3 linked regions of the Arabidopsis thaliana genome follow. The protein of the gene in region 1 interacts with the protein of each later gene in a pairwise test. Each region holds a gene or a part of one and is shown in the gene's direction. Other genes may lie near its edges.

Evidence for each region.
Region 2: the proteins of JAZ5 (region 1) and NINJA interact in binary tests that used the Arabidopsis thaliana proteins (3 or more experiments, as listed by UniProt).
Region 3: the proteins of JAZ5 (region 1) and AT1G01260 interact in binary tests that used the Arabidopsis thaliana proteins (3 or more experiments, as listed by UniProt).

The regions. Positions count from the first base shown.
Region 1 is NC_003070.9:5,953,704-5,960,902, reverse strand, and holds JAZ5 (jasmonate-zim-domain protein 5), read left to right. Parts: upstream 1-3,391; 5' UTR 3,392-3,832; coding exon 3,833-4,010; exon of another isoform or gene 4,011-4,224; coding exon of another isoform or gene 4,225-4,315; coding exon 4,316-4,406; intron 4,407-4,526; coding exon 4,527-4,850; coding exon of another isoform or gene 4,851-4,917; exon of another isoform or gene 4,918-5,017; coding exon 5,018-5,249; 3' UTR 5,250-5,748; downstream 5,749-7,199. Other genes in the region: UBP1B (oligouridylate binding protein 1B), read left to right, coding at 6,078-6,182, 6,624-6,685, 7,061-7,163. UniProt on the Arabidopsis thaliana protein: Repressor of jasmonate responses.
Region 2 is NC_003075.7:14,263,502-14,268,524, reverse strand, and holds NINJA (Putative interactor of JAZ), read left to right. Parts: upstream 1-1,738; 5' UTR 1,739-1,989; intron 1,990-2,380; exon of another isoform or gene 2,381-2,419; 5' UTR 2,420-2,502; intron 2,503-2,767; 5' UTR 2,768-2,844; coding exon 2,845-3,736; intron 3,737-3,809; coding exon 3,810-4,195; 3' UTR 4,196-4,491; downstream 4,492-5,023. Other genes in the region: AT4G28920 (hypothetical protein (DUF626)), read left to right, coding at 1-110. UniProt on the Arabidopsis thaliana protein: Acts as a transcriptional repressor. Negative regulator of jasmonate responses. Connects the JAZ proteins and the non-JAZ protein TIFY8 with the TOPLESS corepressors.
Region 3 is NC_003070.9:107,313-112,231, forward strand, and holds AT1G01260 (basic helix-loop-helix (bHLH) DNA-binding superfamily protein), read left to right. Parts: upstream 1-1,633; 5' UTR 1,634-2,018; exon of another isoform or gene 2,019-2,093; 5' UTR 2,094-2,282; coding exon 2,283-4,055; 3' UTR 4,056-4,387; downstream 4,388-4,919.

The DNA.
Region 1 (7,199 bases):
AAGCTCTTGCAAAATCTTCTTCCAAGTATAGGTAATTAAGACACAACGATAAAATCTCTTAAGTTACAATGTTTTTCTTTCATGAACTCATGCAAGATACTCTTTCATTTAATGCAGATTCAAAATCTTCTCGAGAAAATTTAAAGAAGTAATGAATGAGTCTCCCATTTCAGAGGAATTTTTTTGGTGCATCTGCAAATTAAGCCCTGGACGTTTCAGAATGTTTTTAACTTCTTTTTTTGCATGATTTGATCTGTGGGCATTTGTGTCCATAGAACCAAACATGTTCTTGAAATTGCGTACATGTGTAGATATGTATATGAGATGTCAGAGTGATATACATACATACCTGTGTGCGTGTGATTTGTGTAATTTTAAGGTGGATAACCTCAGCTTATAAAGATTCAATCATTCTTCTTTGTTACATTATTTGTGCCTTTGGTTCACTTTTTATGTAGGAGTCAAGTCAACTCTTGAGATACTCCTCTCTCGTTTCTCCTTGATGTATTATCATATCTATAAAGACATTGGAATATAGCTTTTCCTAGCTTTGTTCAAAATTTGAAAAAATTGAACGTTTAACTTTAGTAAAAAGTGTATTTAAAATAGAGTTTATAAATTCGGTATTACACTATCAATTAATATATAAATTTTAAGAAGATAGATTATTCTTTTTCGTCAATTGGAAAAAAATTATTCGAAAACATAGAATATGATATAAATCTACGTCTATAAGATTGAAATTTAAGGTTAGTGCCTAACGAATGTCGAACATTTCAAAGGAATATTATTGTTTCTTGATTCTTCATTAGCTTTTTGAAATACGAAAGTTTTGCTTTCAAAATAATATGGATCTTCTCATTCAAAGGACGAAAACTGCCTTGATGATGATCTCTAAGACCGTAACTTAAAATATGGGTTGGTGTTGGCCCAAAATCAATGTTAAGTTCCCACCAAGCCCATGCCATATTCTCCAATAGAGTATTTAACTATTAATGATATAAATATTCTAACAGTAACAACATAAGACACAATTACAAGTTTAGTGATATATAGTGTTGGAATATAATTATAAATTCGAAAGAAGTGGATTATGTAATGAGAGGTTGAAACGGGTCAAATATTAGCGTAGAGCATCTGTGGCGTTTCGGTTCAATGTAAAGAAAATATCATTTTTGTTTTTATTATTAAAACCAAGACAAGAGTTATATAGTACTATATCACTTCATGATGATGTGAGTCTATGGTCGAAAATTTTGAGAAGCAAGTACCGTGTCGGTGATATTCATAACAGAGCGTGGATGGTGTCTAAAGGTACATGGTCTTCTACATGGCGAGAGTGGGGAGGAGACAATTCTACACATTTTACGGGACTGTCCGGCGATGGCGGGAATTTGGACCCGCTTGTTACCAGTACGGAGACTCTCTTCTTTCTTTTCGAAATCGCTGTTAGAATGGATCTATGCGAATTTAGGAGAGGAGATAGAGATTAATGGTTGTCCATGGGCGGTCACTTTTTCGCAGGCCATATGGTGGGGGTGGAAATGGCGTTACGGTAACATCTTTGGCGAGAACAAGAAGTGTCGGGATCGGGTTCGTTTTATTAAGGATCGTGCGTTGGATGTTTGGAAGGCGCATGTGCACAAAATGGGAGTGACGACGCGGACAGCTAGGGAGGAGAGATTGATTGCGTGGTCTCCGCCAAGGGTGGGTTGGTTTAAGCTCAATACTGATGGTGCTTCGCGTGGTAACCCGAGACTAGCTACAGCAGGTGGAGTAGTTCGAGACGGGGATGGAAATTGGTGTTATGGGTTTTCGTTGAATATTGGAATTTGTTCGGCTCCGCTTGCGGAACTATGGGGAGCATATTACGGTTTAAATATCGCTTGGGAGCGCGGTGTCACACAGTTGGAGATGGAGATTGATTCGGAGATGGTAGTGGGTTTTCTTCGGACAGGGATTGATGATTCGCATCCGCTGTCCTTCCTGGTGCGGTTGTGCCATGGCTTACTTTCAAAGGACTGGTCAGTCCGGATTTCGCATGTGTATAGAGAAGCTAATCGTCTCGCGGATGGGTTAGCTAACTATGCTTTTTTTTTACCGTTAGGTTTTCATTTGTTTAATTCTACTCCGGATATTGTTATGTCGATTGTTCACGATGATGTAGCGGGGTCTGCGTACCCCCGGAACGTTCAAGTGTAATTTTTTTAGTTTTTTCAGTTTTAATAAAAATGGGGGTTCGCCCCCCTCTTCTACAAAAAAAAATATCACTTTCAAAAGGACCCATTCGCTACCCAATTTTTCTAAACCCCAGAACGTTTTTTTTTTTTCCAAAACACAACAGCCACTTGGTCTTTGCAACAATGCAAGTAGTGTAGTGGCGTAGCTAGGGGTAACGAGTTACCAAACCGGTTTGACAATCTGGTTCGATCAATTGGCCGATCACTCGGTTTGCTCTAATCTTGCTTCATTTAGTCCCATCAACAACACTTATTAAACTAAGTCACATCTAAACTTTTTATATCTTTGGTATCATTTTCCCCGAACACGTTTTTTTGAACGAGTCGTAGTTTTGAAGCAACCAACGAACGTATTGATTATTATGGGCATCCGTGAAAGGGGCAGTTCGGTCAATTGATCCATCAATTTTATTTTTGACCAAACTGATTAGGTGATCTTAAGATTTTTCCTTTTTTCTTTCTATAGGAAAGTGGGAAAAACGCGATTCACACGATACTGTTGCTAGTGCGTCGTACAGATTGCGATACGTGTCACAATCTTGACGGTCTGTTCTATTTAAACCACGTGTTTTAATCAAAAAACTTCTGTCGGATCGTATCGGAGACTTTGAATTTTTATGGCACATGAAACTTCGTAGGGGTTTGATGGTAGGATCCCACATTGGTCCACTTACTATTCAATTCGCACCGCCGTTAAGTTTGTTAACTAACGTGAGGAACGTCGCGGTGATGTAAAAAAAGGCCATGAAAGTTGTTTCTATTACGATGATGCCATCACTGGAGTTGGTAATGTGCTCTTGTGGAAGGGCAAATTTTGTAAATACGATCAAATTTCGAGTCTTTTACGAATTTGTGACATACGCCGTTTAATAACGTTTGCCGTCGGTTCTGAAATCTTTATTCTTTTTCTCTTTTATCGTTACGCGTAAGGAAAACGTGCGGTAAATTCTAACCGAAAATATATATAAAAAAGTAGTCCAATTTTGAAATCTGGCCGTTGATGGTAGACAACTAAACTGTGCCAAACAAGAAACAAGAGGTGAACATATTTTTATGATAAGACAGGGCAATAAATTTGTTGTACCAACTCATAAAACAATAGATAAATTACTTGCACAATGATGGATTATTAACATTAATTTTCTTACTATTAATCATGGATGAAAATTCCTTTCTTCACACTAGATATAGTTCTTTAACTAGTTAAAAATGCATGCGATGGAATATTACTAAATATGATATAATCTCATGGCTTTATGTAAGATTTGTTTTTTGGTTTTTTTGGTTGTTGTTAATAAATTTATTATTGAGAAGTTTAATTCTATTTTGGTCACAATATATTGAAATATTTTTAAGAAACTAAAAAGTTCCTATTTATTTTTGTTTTCATTAATTTATGAGAGGCTATTAAAGTCACAGAAACTTATTGGGTGAATGAGTTTATAAACACATGAGCTATTGAGCTAGTAGCCTCTTGTACTCTTCCATTTTACGCGCAATCCACGCACCAACAAAAAGAAAAGAAAAGAAGAGATAAAGAATATCTTTAAAAAGTAAGTGTGGAGAATTCTTTCTTCTCAATAAACAACAACATGTCGTCGAGCAATGAAAATGCTAAGGCACAAGCGCCGGAGAAATCTGACTTTACCCGGAGATGTAGTTTGCTCAGCCGTTACTTGAAGGAGAAGGGTAGTTTCGGAAACATTGATCTTGGCTTATACCGAAAACCCGATTCCAGTCTCGCGTTGCCCGGAAAATTCGATCCACCAGGTACTTTTATTATCTCTTTCTTCTTTCATGGCCGCCACTTGGTAATAGTACTTTAAAAACTCAGTTCTGTTACTACTTGCTTTTGCCAGATTTACTACTTTTGTATTGTTTCTTCATTTGTAAGTCAGTTCCTTACTTCAGAAATAATTTCTCCTTGTAATTATGAAGACAAGTAACAAAAATAACGAATAAGTTGATATAGAAATTGATTGAGATGTGGTTAATAAAATTCCAAAGATATAAGATGCTATATCATTTTTCTAAAGTTATTATAGTTCACGAAAGTTTTTATTCTCTTTATGCAGGGAAACAAAATGCGATGCATAAGGCAGGGCATTCCAAAGGCGAACCCTCTACCTCATCAGGAGGCAAAGTCAAAGATGTTGCTGACCTCAGGTCTCTCCTTTTGTTCCTTGGGAATACTTGTTGTTTTTGGTTATTGGAGATTAGAGAAAAGGATAATCGGTTAATCCGGTTAAAATTGGTTTTGTTCTGAAATCTGTTTTTGGTTTGCAGTGAATCACAGCCAGGAAGTTCGCAGCTGACCATATTCTTCGGAGGGAAAGTTTTAGTATATAATGAGTTCCCCGTAGACAAAGCTAAAGAGATTATGGAAGTAGCAAAACAAGCCAAGCCTGTGACTGAGATTAACATTCAGACACCAATCAATGACGAAAACAACAACAACAAGAGCAGCATGGTTCTTCCTGATCTCAATGAGCCTACTGATAATAATCACCTAACAAAGGAACAACAACAGCAACAAGAACAAAATCAGATCGTGGAACGTATAGCACGTAGAGCTTCCCTCCATCGATTCTTTGCTAAACGGAAAGACAGGTATTTAACCTTATCATACTTTTTGAAACTTGTTTTAATGTTCCAAATTTCCAATCACTCTAGTTAGTTCAAAACTCAAAAGTTTAAGGATCCTCCCTCTGATATAAGTTCTCCTAAATTATCCTCAACAAGCCTCGTAATTTACGTTATTAATTTTTCTGTTGCAGAGCTGTGGCTAGGGCTCCGTACCAAGTTAACCAAAACGCAGGTCATCATCGTTATCCTCCCAAGCCAGAGATTGTAACCGGTCAACCACTAGAGGCAGGACAGTCGTCACAAAGACCGCCGGATAACGCCATTGGTCAAACCATGGCCCATATCAAATCAGACGGTGATAAAGATGATATTATGAAGATTGAAGAAGGCCAAAGTTCGAAAGATCTCGATCTAAGGCTATAGTAATATTTGCTAAATTTCTTGTAGGAACTGAGTTTTTAGATTAACGTTTCGATTTTTCTGACTTATCTAAGTGATTTTATTTTGCTTTGTACTACAGTATGTAATCTTATTCTAACTTGAATATTCATTCATAAACACAATAGACGATAGTAAAGTTATATTATAATTAGTTAACTACGTACAACACTTGGGAGTTAAATTACATAACGTTAAGCGAGAAATAGCAAATTAGACAAGAGGAAGAATATTTAGGAGTTGTGAATTGATCTGACTGCAATAACATGAAGAGGAATCTGACTGCAATCGTAATGCGGGTAAAGATGGTTGAAAGTGATCAGAGCTCCTTTCTAATTTATTTAGGGTGTAATTTATGAAAATGATTATTATTGGAGTGTATATCAAGTTTTCACTAAACTCAGGGGTGTTTATTGTAATTAGTTGTCAGGTTCAAGTTCATTGAAGGCGTGTCTGATTTGGACAGTGATTGGGCCTGAGCCATAAGTTTAACGTGGGACGAGTTCATTGGCTGTTGCTTTTTAAATTTTCTTACAGCCTGTGACTTTAGCTAATCGATGTGTAAAAATAATAAATCCAATAAAATTCGTAAGAGCCACTCGATTGCTTCCTTCGCTTTCTATCAAGAGACTTCCTTTTTTTTTTCCTGTTCTTCATTTTTTTTTTGTTATTAATATTTTGTCATTTTTCTTACATTTTTCTCGAACACCGAAAACACTTTCGAACCCTAAAAGACAGAACACTGTGTCAATTTTCATTACCTGGGAACGAAAAGCAAAATCAAAGACAATAATTTTTTCCCCGAGAGAGAAAATGCAGAGGTTGAAGCAGCAGCAGCAGCAGCAACAAGTTATGATGCAGCAAGCTCTTATGCAGCAACAGTCTCTCTACCATCCTGGTCTCCTTGCCCCGCCACAGGTTTGCTCTATTCTTCTTCCATTTCCATGCTCGATTTGGGTTTCTAGGCTCTTTTTCCCAAGCTCGATTTCACTGGTTTTTCTCTCTTTTTTGTTGTATAAGGTCCAAGATTAGGAACTCGAGATTTTTGGTTTCATTTTCTATGATTGAAGATGCTTGTTTCTCTTGTTTTTTGTTTCATTTTTGATTGGTCAAACGAGAAAAAGTTTTGAAATTTATGGGGATTACCACTAATAGACTTGCTTCTTGTGTATTCGTTACATTTCTTTTAAAGTGTTTGTCTTATTATCTGATATTTGGTTCAACAACTCCATGAAAATCTTTGAGGTGAGACTGATTCGTTATCGTAGCTTAGTTGCTGAGACTTTAGGAAGTAAAGTTTTTTCCTTTATTTCTTTCTTTTTCATTTTCTTTGGCTTCCTATTTTTTTCCTTTTTGCAGATAGAACCAATCCCAAGTGGAAATCTCCCCCCTGGTTTTGATCCAAGTACTTGCCGCAGTGTGTGAGTGTTAGGTTTCGTTTTTTCTTTTGGTATTTTTGTTCACTTTTTATGTATGTTTTGGTGTTTTGGCTTTAAAAGTTTCAGTAGTGAACTCAAGTTTTCAGTTTGTCACTCTCAAAGCTAGTCCAGGGAAACACTTCTGCATTGTAGTTATGTACTATATTATATAGTTCATACTTGTACAGTTGAATTTGACAACGTTTCTCTAAAGACTTGTTTCTATTTTCTAGAAAAGGTGATTCTTTGTTATGATGCCCTCATAGGTGATTCTTCTTGATGTTGAGGGACTTGTAGCCCTGCTAATTTTTATGTTTTTGTTTCATTGTTCTGTTTCTTGTTTAGATTTTTAGTCTGCCTGCCTTTGAGAAATTGCAGGTACGTTGGAAACATCCATATTCAGGTGACGGAACCTCTGCTTCAAGAGGTTTTTGCTGGCACTGGTCCTGTAGAAAGCTGTAAACTAATTAGGAAAGAAAAGGTGTGTTATGTTACACTTTTATAACATTCTAGTAGT
Region 2 (5,023 bases), on another chromosome or scaffold:
AAACAATAGTACGGAAAGCCATGGATGGAAAACCGGGACACATTCGTCTAGAAGTTGACTCTTGGCAAGCCATACCAAGCGATTTAATTGGGGAGGATGAACCGCCCTAGAGTAAACCTGAACCGGAATGCTCATCCTCTGCTGCTCAATAAAAAGTTACCGTAGGGTTGACTTCAAGTCCTTTGATGACGACTATACTGTGAATCTGTGATTACTTGTTCTCAATGCAATAACTACAAGTCTCTTCTTCTTCCTCTTTTTAAAGCTTGTCTTCTACTTGTGATTACTTGTTCTGAATATTGTGATATCAATCAAGACAAGTATGAAATCACCAAGAGCTCTAAGAATATATTTTTTTCTATCATTTTATTCCTTGGATTTTTGAAGAGTAACAAAACATATATGATTTTCATGAGAAGTTGAAGCTGAGAGAATAATATTTAGAGTTGTATTATCGTGAATTGTTGGTAACGATGATGGAGGCTCCTGGGACTAGGGTTGGGAGATGGGAGTTCACTTCTATTGAGAGCAAGTCGGTGAGGAGGAGTTTCTTTGAAACAATGTGATAGGCGGCGGCGATTTTGTATGTGGGAGACGGTGAGGGGTCTTCTTCACCGTCTCACGGTGGATAGCCACAACATCATCAACGTAGACATTAGGTTGAAAAATTCGACATCTTATGGTATTTAATATGACGATTAAAAAGAGAGAAACAAGTCTATTTATCCTTTGAATTGTTAATGATCCTTTTTAATTTATTTTTCAAACTTATAAAACTATGAATAATAGCATCAGAAATAATAAAAAAAAAACCATGTAACTTTATTGCTTATGAGTCAATCAAAGTATATATTTATTCATGTTGTAGCTTTTCAATATTATTAACCATGTTTGTTTTCATTATTTTATTTTTACATAAGTAACATATTTTCATGCCATTAAAATTTTACAACATAAGATAATTTTATTTTATAATATTCAAATTTCCAATTTCCAATTTCCTCTTTAGTCTTAAGTCTTAACATGTCAATTTTTGTATTAAAAAAAAAACATGTCAATTTTTTGTACAAAAAAAATAAAACCATGTCAATTTAGGAGGAAAAAAAACTGGAAAAGCCTGACAAAGAAAAAAAAGCTGGAAATATCAAAAATAAAATGATAACGTCGCCTGAGAGATTCGAACTCTCGCGGGGAAACCCCATGTACTTAGCAGGCACACGCCTTAACCACTCGGCCAAAGCGACTTTATTGATCATGAATCAATCTAAAATATATATATATATAAACCTATCGTTTTGAATTTTTTTTTTTGGCAAACAGCTTTTGATACTATTATATATATATATATATATATTATCCCCACATATCTTTAGCTATGTCTTTTTCGAAGGAAATTTTGAAGTATTAAATTAAGTGACGATTTACACACATATGGAGTAATTAAATCGTTTTAGCATATCTTGTAATGTTGTCTCTCTTATCCAACTATTCTAAAGAAAGTGGTGACTAGAAAATATAGATTATATACTATGTGACCAACTTTTTAGTATATCTTTATAAAAACGCATAAGATATGTCATATGTGTTTCCTCTAAAACTTGTTAAAGAAATGAAAAATCTGTTGGTAGATGTGAATAGTTATGGACTAGTTTGGCTTTAAAAAGAAAATTGGGCCCATGTATTTCTATTCATGCATTGGACATGTACAATGTACAAATATATTCATGATTGCAAACATGTAGTATATATGCTGACTATACGATTGTTATTTATTCAAAAGTTAAGAAAATGCACAAGATACACATGGACGAAATCGAAACTAATTGTACAATAAAATAATAATTATTAGTATTACGAAGGGAAAAGGGAAATGGTCCGTACTAGTTGTCCGAACCCGAAGAAGCCCCAATCGCTGATGCAACTGTCTAGGAGCCGCCACGCTGCGAAGAAGCTCTAGGGTTTGTTCGTCTTCTTCCTCGGTTTCATCAGGTTTTCATCTTCTCGATTCTGATTTCGGCTTCTGTTTTAGCTTTATTCGGCTTATTGTGATTTAATTTGAGCTGATTTGGCATTATTGCTGTGTAGTTAGGGGTCAGGGTTTTAATCTGATCGCGTCTAGGTTATGATTCTTTTGATGATTTCGATCTTTAGAAAGTCAATTGATTTGTTTCTTCGTATGTAGCTCGTTTAGCTGACAGATCTGCATAGTGTCTTATCAGTTACTAGATCTTTGTGCTATCTCTCACTCTGATTTCTGGATTTTGATTCCTTTTTTTTTTTTGTTAGCTGACATACAAGTGTGAGTGATGTGTGTCTTTGCTTTGTTTCCATTTTAGTTTAGTTTCTCAAAATGGAAATGATGAATATTGGGGGTTTTCAGAACCTAAGTTGTAGAAATGGTCTTTTTTTGTTATCACAGAACTCAAAAGGTACTTGGTAGGAGCGAGAAGAAAGTTTCTGGAGAATTGCTGAATTGTTTCTTTCAATGGTTTTGTTTCTAAGGTACTATCCGAGTCCAATGTTTCTGAGAGTTCTGGTAGCTTGTTAATTTGTTATACTGAATACTAGGATTGATTTTGGCAAAGCATGTGATGTTTGTTGCAAGTTCAAGCAGATGTGTTTCTTTTTATAAATTTAGAAGAAGTTTACTTCCGCAGCCATCTATGATTCTCAAAGTTCTTAGCTTTGCGTTTGATTCTTTTTTCTAGAAACCATTGGTTAGCTTTGGATAATGAGTCCTTTTCTGCCCATGATGTATTTTTCTCAGATGGTAATCAAGATTGTTGACGGTGCTCTGAAGATCTGTTGACCTGCTCAGAGTTTGCTTAAAAAGTTTGAGAAAAAATGGACGATGATAATGGGCTCGAGCTCAGCTTGGGTCTTTCTTGTGGAGGATCAACAGGAAAAGCTAAGGGTAACAATAATAATAATGCTGGAAGCTCCTCAGAGAACTACAGGGCAGAAGGAGGCGATAGAAGTGCTAAAGTGATTGATGACTTTAAGAACTTCCTGCATCCAACTTCTCAAAGACCTGCAGAGCCGAGTTCTGGTTCTCAGAGAAGTGATTCGGGTCAACAGCCTCCACAAAATTTCTTCAATGACCTCTCAAAAGCTCCTACAACTGAGGCTGAAGCTTCTACGAAACCTTTGTGGGTGGAGGATGAGTCACGGAAAGAAGCAGGGAACAAAAGAAAGTTCGGGTTCCCGGGGATGAATGATGATAAGAAAAAAGAGAAGGACTCGTCTCATGTTGATATGCATGAGAAGAAGACAAAAGCATCCCATGTTTCAACTGCGACAGATGAAGGATCAACAGCTGAAAACGAAGATGTAGCAGAGTCTGAAGTAGGTGGTGGTTCTTCTTCCAACCACGCAAAGGAGGTGGTTCGTCCTCCTACTGATACAAACATTGTGGACAACTTAACTGGTCAAAGGAGGAGCAACCATGGTGGATCTGGCACTGAAGAGTTTACAATGCGCAACATGAGTTACACCGTACCTTTCACAGTTCATCCGCAAAATGTCGTCACTAGTATGCCTTACTCTTTACCGACAAAAGAGTCTGGACAACACGCAGCAGCTACAAGTCTATTGCAGCCTAATGCTAATGCTGGAAATCTCCCGATTATGTTCGGATACTCACCAGTCCAGCTCCCTATGCTAGATAAGGACGGTTCAGGAGGGATTGTCGCACTTTCTCAATCTCCATTTGCTGGAAGAGTTCCATCAAACTCAGGTAAGCAAAACCTTCCCTTAAAACACGATTTAGTACTCTTACAGCAAAAATAGTAACTTTTCCTTCCAAAAAGCTACTGCAAAAGGCGAAGGCAAACAACCTGTTGCAGAAGAAGGTTCATCCGAGGATGCATCAGAACGACCAACGGGAGACAACAGCAACCTCAATACCGCTTTCTCTTTCGACTTTTCTGCCATAAAACCTGGAATGGCAGCAGATGTGAAGTTTGGAGGATCCGGGGCACGTCCCAACTTACCGTGGGTCTCAACCACTGGTTCAGGCCCACACGGACGGACAATCTCAGGTGTCACATACCGGTACAACGCAAACCAGATCAAAATCGTATGCGCTTGCCACGGCTCGCACATGTCACCGGAGGAGTTTGTACGGCACGCAAGCGAGGAGTACGTTAGCCCAGAATCATCCATGGGAATGACTGCAGCGTCAGCTCACACCTGAAAAGTCACCACCGGAAAAAAAGATGTCTGAAATCTTGTAAACAAATGGAAGGGTTTGTAATGAGTTTCTTTTTGGAACATACATTTTATTATGTTTAGTCGGATCAAACTCTCAAGCCAAAGTTTTTTAACTGAGCTTTCTGTTATGTTGTTGTAATCTCTCTACTTCATCACAATTCCTTATGTAATCCTCTTCTTTCCTTTTTGTTTTTTGGTTGAAAGGAAATTATATATAACCATAACATTATCGGTGTCCTTTGTTCCTTTGGTTAAAATCTAAACAACTATTTTGGTAAAATAATTCACTTTGATTTTGACTACTATGTAACGACAGCAAAACCTTCAATTATGTAATGTCATGTCAAAACCTGATACCATTGATACGGTTGGTTGTACAGAAAACCTGCAAGAATAATGTCAAACTCTTACTTAATAGTTAATAAATTGATAATGTTGTGGTTAAATTCTATAACAAAGAAGTAATTGAAAGACTAAAATAGTGAAAGTATTGATAAAACGATGATGAAGAGAAATCTCTTTATTGAATATTTCAGCTTAAGGTTTACAATGACAGAGAAGGGTTTATATATGAACCCCAAAATGGTGAGACACTAGGTCACACGTCATTAGCTGCACATCACGACAGAGGAACAAAGAGGATCAAATTTGTTATGAAGGGACAAATGATTAGCTGTGAATCCCGTACGTTGATGCGCTGGAAATTGAGGAATCTTGTTACCGTTGCAAGGTAGAGAAGACTTGAGGTTGATGGGCTTGACACTTTGACTGAGGCCCAAAGTATTGTTGAGTGTTGCAGGTCCATTCGCAG
Region 3 (4,919 bases), 5.8 Mb from region 1:
TTTCTGAAGCTAGAGTTTACAGTCACGTGTGAAAATCAAACCAATTTGGATCATTATTGAAGATAAATGAATACTTGATATATTGTTAGTACAAATTTAAACAAAGCGATAGGTTTAGTGGCATTCAGAATAAGTTCACCAAGAACCGGCACTACTTTATCCGGGATTAAATCAACTCTTACAATAGAGTTAACTGGACTAATAGGCCGATTTGTTGTGGTAAAACAAAACCAATGAAATATATGATAAGATTGAGATTTAAGAATTCAAGACTGAGTCCGTTGAACAGCCCATTCTAATTCTGATTGCTAGATAAGGGATAGATGGGGGGCATTATTAAGGTTTGGGAAAAAGGCTGATATCACGTTTGACCTAGCACATATGTGGCCCAACATTACAAGAATTCCATAGAAAACCAGTATTGTAATATCGGCCCATATTATATTCTTGACGACTTGGAGATATTGTAAGTCGACGTCGTTGTTTGACTTAGATGGGAATGGGACCCAAACGTCTCGAATAAAGGATAGTTTAAACACGTGAATCACGCGGTCCCCACTTTTTGCTGTGTGTTTCTCACCGCCATACATATATTATACCCACTCGTGACTTCATTTTCCATAATTACTATATATACTAATTTTTTGTTTTAACTTTATCGTTTGTTAAAGATTTTTCCAAAATAATATAGTCATTGTATATTCATTTTCGCAGAGCCGTAGTTTATATTTTGATGATAATTTTATGACTTAAAGAGTGAAAGCTATAAATATATTACAATTCAATTGTGGTTGCGAGAGAATAAACAAAAAGAGAAAGAGAAAAAAAAAACGTTACAGAAGAGAAAGTGCAGAGCTGTGCAGGCGCATTTGAAAATGAAATTAAAAAGAAAAAGAGATCCAAAGAAAATTAAATGCATCTCACGTTCTTCTCATTCTGGTCATCTCTCCTAAATCCACGTGAACTTCACGTGCTTTTCACGCCCTCCTCTCTATCGACTTGGCGTTTCCTTTCTTCTAAAGGAGTTGAATTGTTTTGTCAACATTTATCAAGTTATTTAGTAATTTGTTTTTTTGTTTTGTTTTTAAAAAAATTATTTACTCCCGTTGTAGAACCACCATCAATAATATTACCAAAAATAATAATCAAGGATCTAAACTAAAATAAGCCTTTTATTTTGTATAATTCTGAAAGCATTTGAAACTTAAGGAACAACTCTTTAGTCTTTGCAACAAAACAAAACACAACAAAAACCGAATATTTAAGCCTAACTTGAATGTGAATTGATTTGGTCAAAATTCCCGGTGCTTGACCACCGGTCTTAGTTGGCATACTTTGCAATTATGTAAACAAAAATTTTAAAAATTGAAAGCAAACTTCTAAATTTGGGTTTGGTTTCCCCTTTAGTTATTTCCATGAACATGAGAATCTAATCTCGAGTTGTCAGATAGTATTTGTTTAGATCTACACCAGTTGAGATAGATCTGTTGCAAATTTTTAATTAATCAAAACCCATAATTGAAAATTATGTCAATCAATTATTGACAAAAACCATGACATAATCTAAGGGGTTTTCAATCGTCGTGTATCAAAGACTCGAGACAAAGACTAAATCGAACCAGACCCGGTTTAAGTTTCTAAACTCAATTGTGTAGTTAAGTAGCTAACCATGGTTCAGATGAAAGTCTTTTTGTTTTGTTTTTTGTTTTGTTTGTTGGGGTTTGGTCTTTTAATAAAAAAGAGCACGAAGAACATGCGTCGGACTCTCTCTCTTCCTTGAATTCATTCAATTGGCCACGGCGACAAAACAGGGAGCCGATACAGCGAAACTGATACATCTTTTTTTATTTTCTGGATTCTTAGGGTTCTTTTTCGGGGAATTTAGGTAATTTGTTTGTCCATTTTGGTGGGGTTTGGGAGATTTAAAATTTGTGTTTTTTTTTGGGTCGGATTCTCAAAAATCTGATTTTGAGGAGAAAATCTCGGTGGAAGAGACTTGATTCAAATCTTCTTTACTGGTAAAAATATATTCTTCTCAATTCCTCATTTTCTGTTGGTGGAGTTTGATTTTTGTCATTTAATTGTTGTTAAAGAAAATAGGGGCAAGATCTGAGATCTCTGGGTGTTCCATGCAAAACTGTTATACTCCGCCGTATATTTGCATCTGGGTCACACTTCTAAACCCTATCATTTGACTTAAGAATCGATTTCTGAAGATCTGGGTTTCTTAAAAGTCTTTCCTTTTTGTTGGGATCCAAACAACAAAAGAAAAGAAAGCAGAGATGAATATTGGTCGCCTAGTGTGGAACGAGGACGATAAAGCGATTGTTGCGTCATTACTGGGCAAACGAGCTCTCGATTACTTGCTTTCCAACTCTGTTTCCAATGCTAATCTCTTGATGACTCTAGGAAGCGACGAGAATCTGCAGAACAAGCTCTCGGATCTCGTCGAGAGACCCAACGCTTCTAATTTCTCTTGGAACTACGCCATTTTCTGGCAGATTTCCAGGTCAAAGGCCGGAGATTTGGTTCTCTGTTGGGGCGATGGATATTGCAGAGAGCCTAAAGAAGGAGAGAAATCAGAGATCGTTAGGATTCTAAGTATGGGAAGAGAAGAAGAAACGCATCAGACTATGAGAAAGAGAGTATTGCAAAAGCTTCATGATTTGTTTGGTGGCTCAGAAGAAGAGAACTGTGCTTTAGGACTAGATAGAGTTACTGACACTGAGATGTTTCTTCTTTCTTCTATGTATTTCTCATTCCCTCGAGGTGAAGGTGGTCCAGGCAAGTGTTTTGCCTCTGCTAAACCTGTTTGGTTATCCGATGTCGTCAATTCGGGTTCTGATTATTGCGTTAGATCGTTTCTTGCTAAATCTGCTGGCATTCAGACTGTTGTTTTGGTTCCTACTGATCTTGGTGTTGTTGAGTTAGGCTCAACTTCATGTTTGCCTGAAAGTGAAGACTCAATCTTGTCTATAAGATCATTGTTTACCAGTAGTTTGCCTCCGGTTAGAGCTGTTGCTTTACCTGTTACTGTAGCTGAAAAGATTGATGATAACAGAACGAAGATATTCGGCAAGGATTTGCACAATTCAGGGTTTCTTCAACATCATCAGCATCACCAACAACAACAACAACAACCACCGCAACAGCAACAGCATAGACAGTTTAGAGAGAAACTCACGGTTAGAAAAATGGATGATAGAGCTCCCAAGAGATTAGATGCTTATCCGAATAATGGGAACAGGTTTATGTTTTCGAACCCAGGCACCAACAACAACACTCTTCTGAGTCCTACTTGGGTTCAACCTGAGAACTACACGAGGCCAATCAACGTGAAGGAAGTTCCAAGCACGGATGAGTTCAAGTTTTTACCTTTGCAGCAATCATCGCAGAGGCTGCTTCCTCCTGCTCAAATGCAGATAGATTTCTCTGCTGCGAGTTCAAGGGCTTCAGAGAATAATTCAGATGGAGAAGGAGGAGGGGAATGGGCAGATGCAGTGGGTGCTGATGAATCTGGTAACAACAGACCAAGAAAACGCGGAAGGAGACCTGCCAACGGAAGAGCGGAAGCTTTGAACCATGTAGAAGCAGAGAGGCAGAGGCGTGAGAAGCTTAACCAGAGGTTTTACGCTCTGAGATCCGTTGTTCCCAACATATCCAAGATGGACAAAGCGTCCTTGTTGGGAGACGCGGTTTCTTATATAAACGAGCTTCACGCGAAGCTAAAGGTCATGGAAGCAGAGAGAGAGAGGTTAGGGTATAGCTCAAATCCACCTATCAGCTTGGATTCAGATATAAATGTTCAAACCTCAGGTGAAGATGTCACAGTGAGGATAAACTGTCCGTTGGAGTCTCATCCGGCTTCCAGAATCTTCCATGCGTTTGAAGAGAGTAAAGTAGAAGTGATAAACTCGAACCTGGAAGTTTCTCAGGACACAGTGTTGCATACGTTTGTAGTCAAATCTGAAGAATTAACGAAAGAGAAGCTGATATCGGCCTTGTCTAGAGAGCAAACAAATTCAGTTCAGTCAAGAACATCATCAGGTAGATAGCCTTTTGAGAGACAGAAGAAGGTGGAAGTAAGTTTGTAATCAAGAACCGGTTTTGAATGGTTCTTTTTTTCTTCTAGGTATCTTTTGTTTTTACCTTTTTTTGGTTATATACCTGTAAGAATCCTCCAAACTAGGATTTTAGAAGTTTTATTGACAAAAGTAGACATTATCATTTACTCGTTTTACAGTGGACAAAGCTGGGAATTAAGTAATTAACGATAATGTTGTATCTGTTAAAGTCGTAGACTAGCTCATGAATCAGTCTTTATTCATTCTGATATGTCCTATGTGTTGGATTTGGTGAAGTGTTTAATCGACAAGTCAGATAAGTGTTATGGATTGGTCACGGAATTGCTCAAGAACAACAAAACACAGCTGATTCATTGCTTGTGAACAAGAGGAAACACTATGATGTTCGTGCACACCATTTTTAGTGTTCAAACTAACATAAACCGTTATCGCCTGGGGAAAACAAAAGTTTTAAGAAGAGAAACAGGTGGAAAATGTAACAAAAATAAAAATAGGTTCCACCGAGACTTGAACTCGGGTTACTAGATTCAGAGTCTAGTGTCCTAACCGCTAGACCATGGAACCGCTTGATGTTTAGATTGCAGTAAATACGTTTTTAATATGTTTCTCTATTGTGAGTCAAAGGGTAATGCGATGTTTCTTTCTAGATTTCCTAAGCTAACTCAGTCCTAATAAACCGATTAAAAAGAACATGAACAAAGCATGCAGATCATAAAAGTGTCACACAAAGAGAGAGATACATGTTAGATTGTTTTTTTTTCTTCTCTTAAATGATAATTAATCGTTCTAACAAAAACTTAGCTACTAGTCTTCCATGATTTGTTATATATTGAG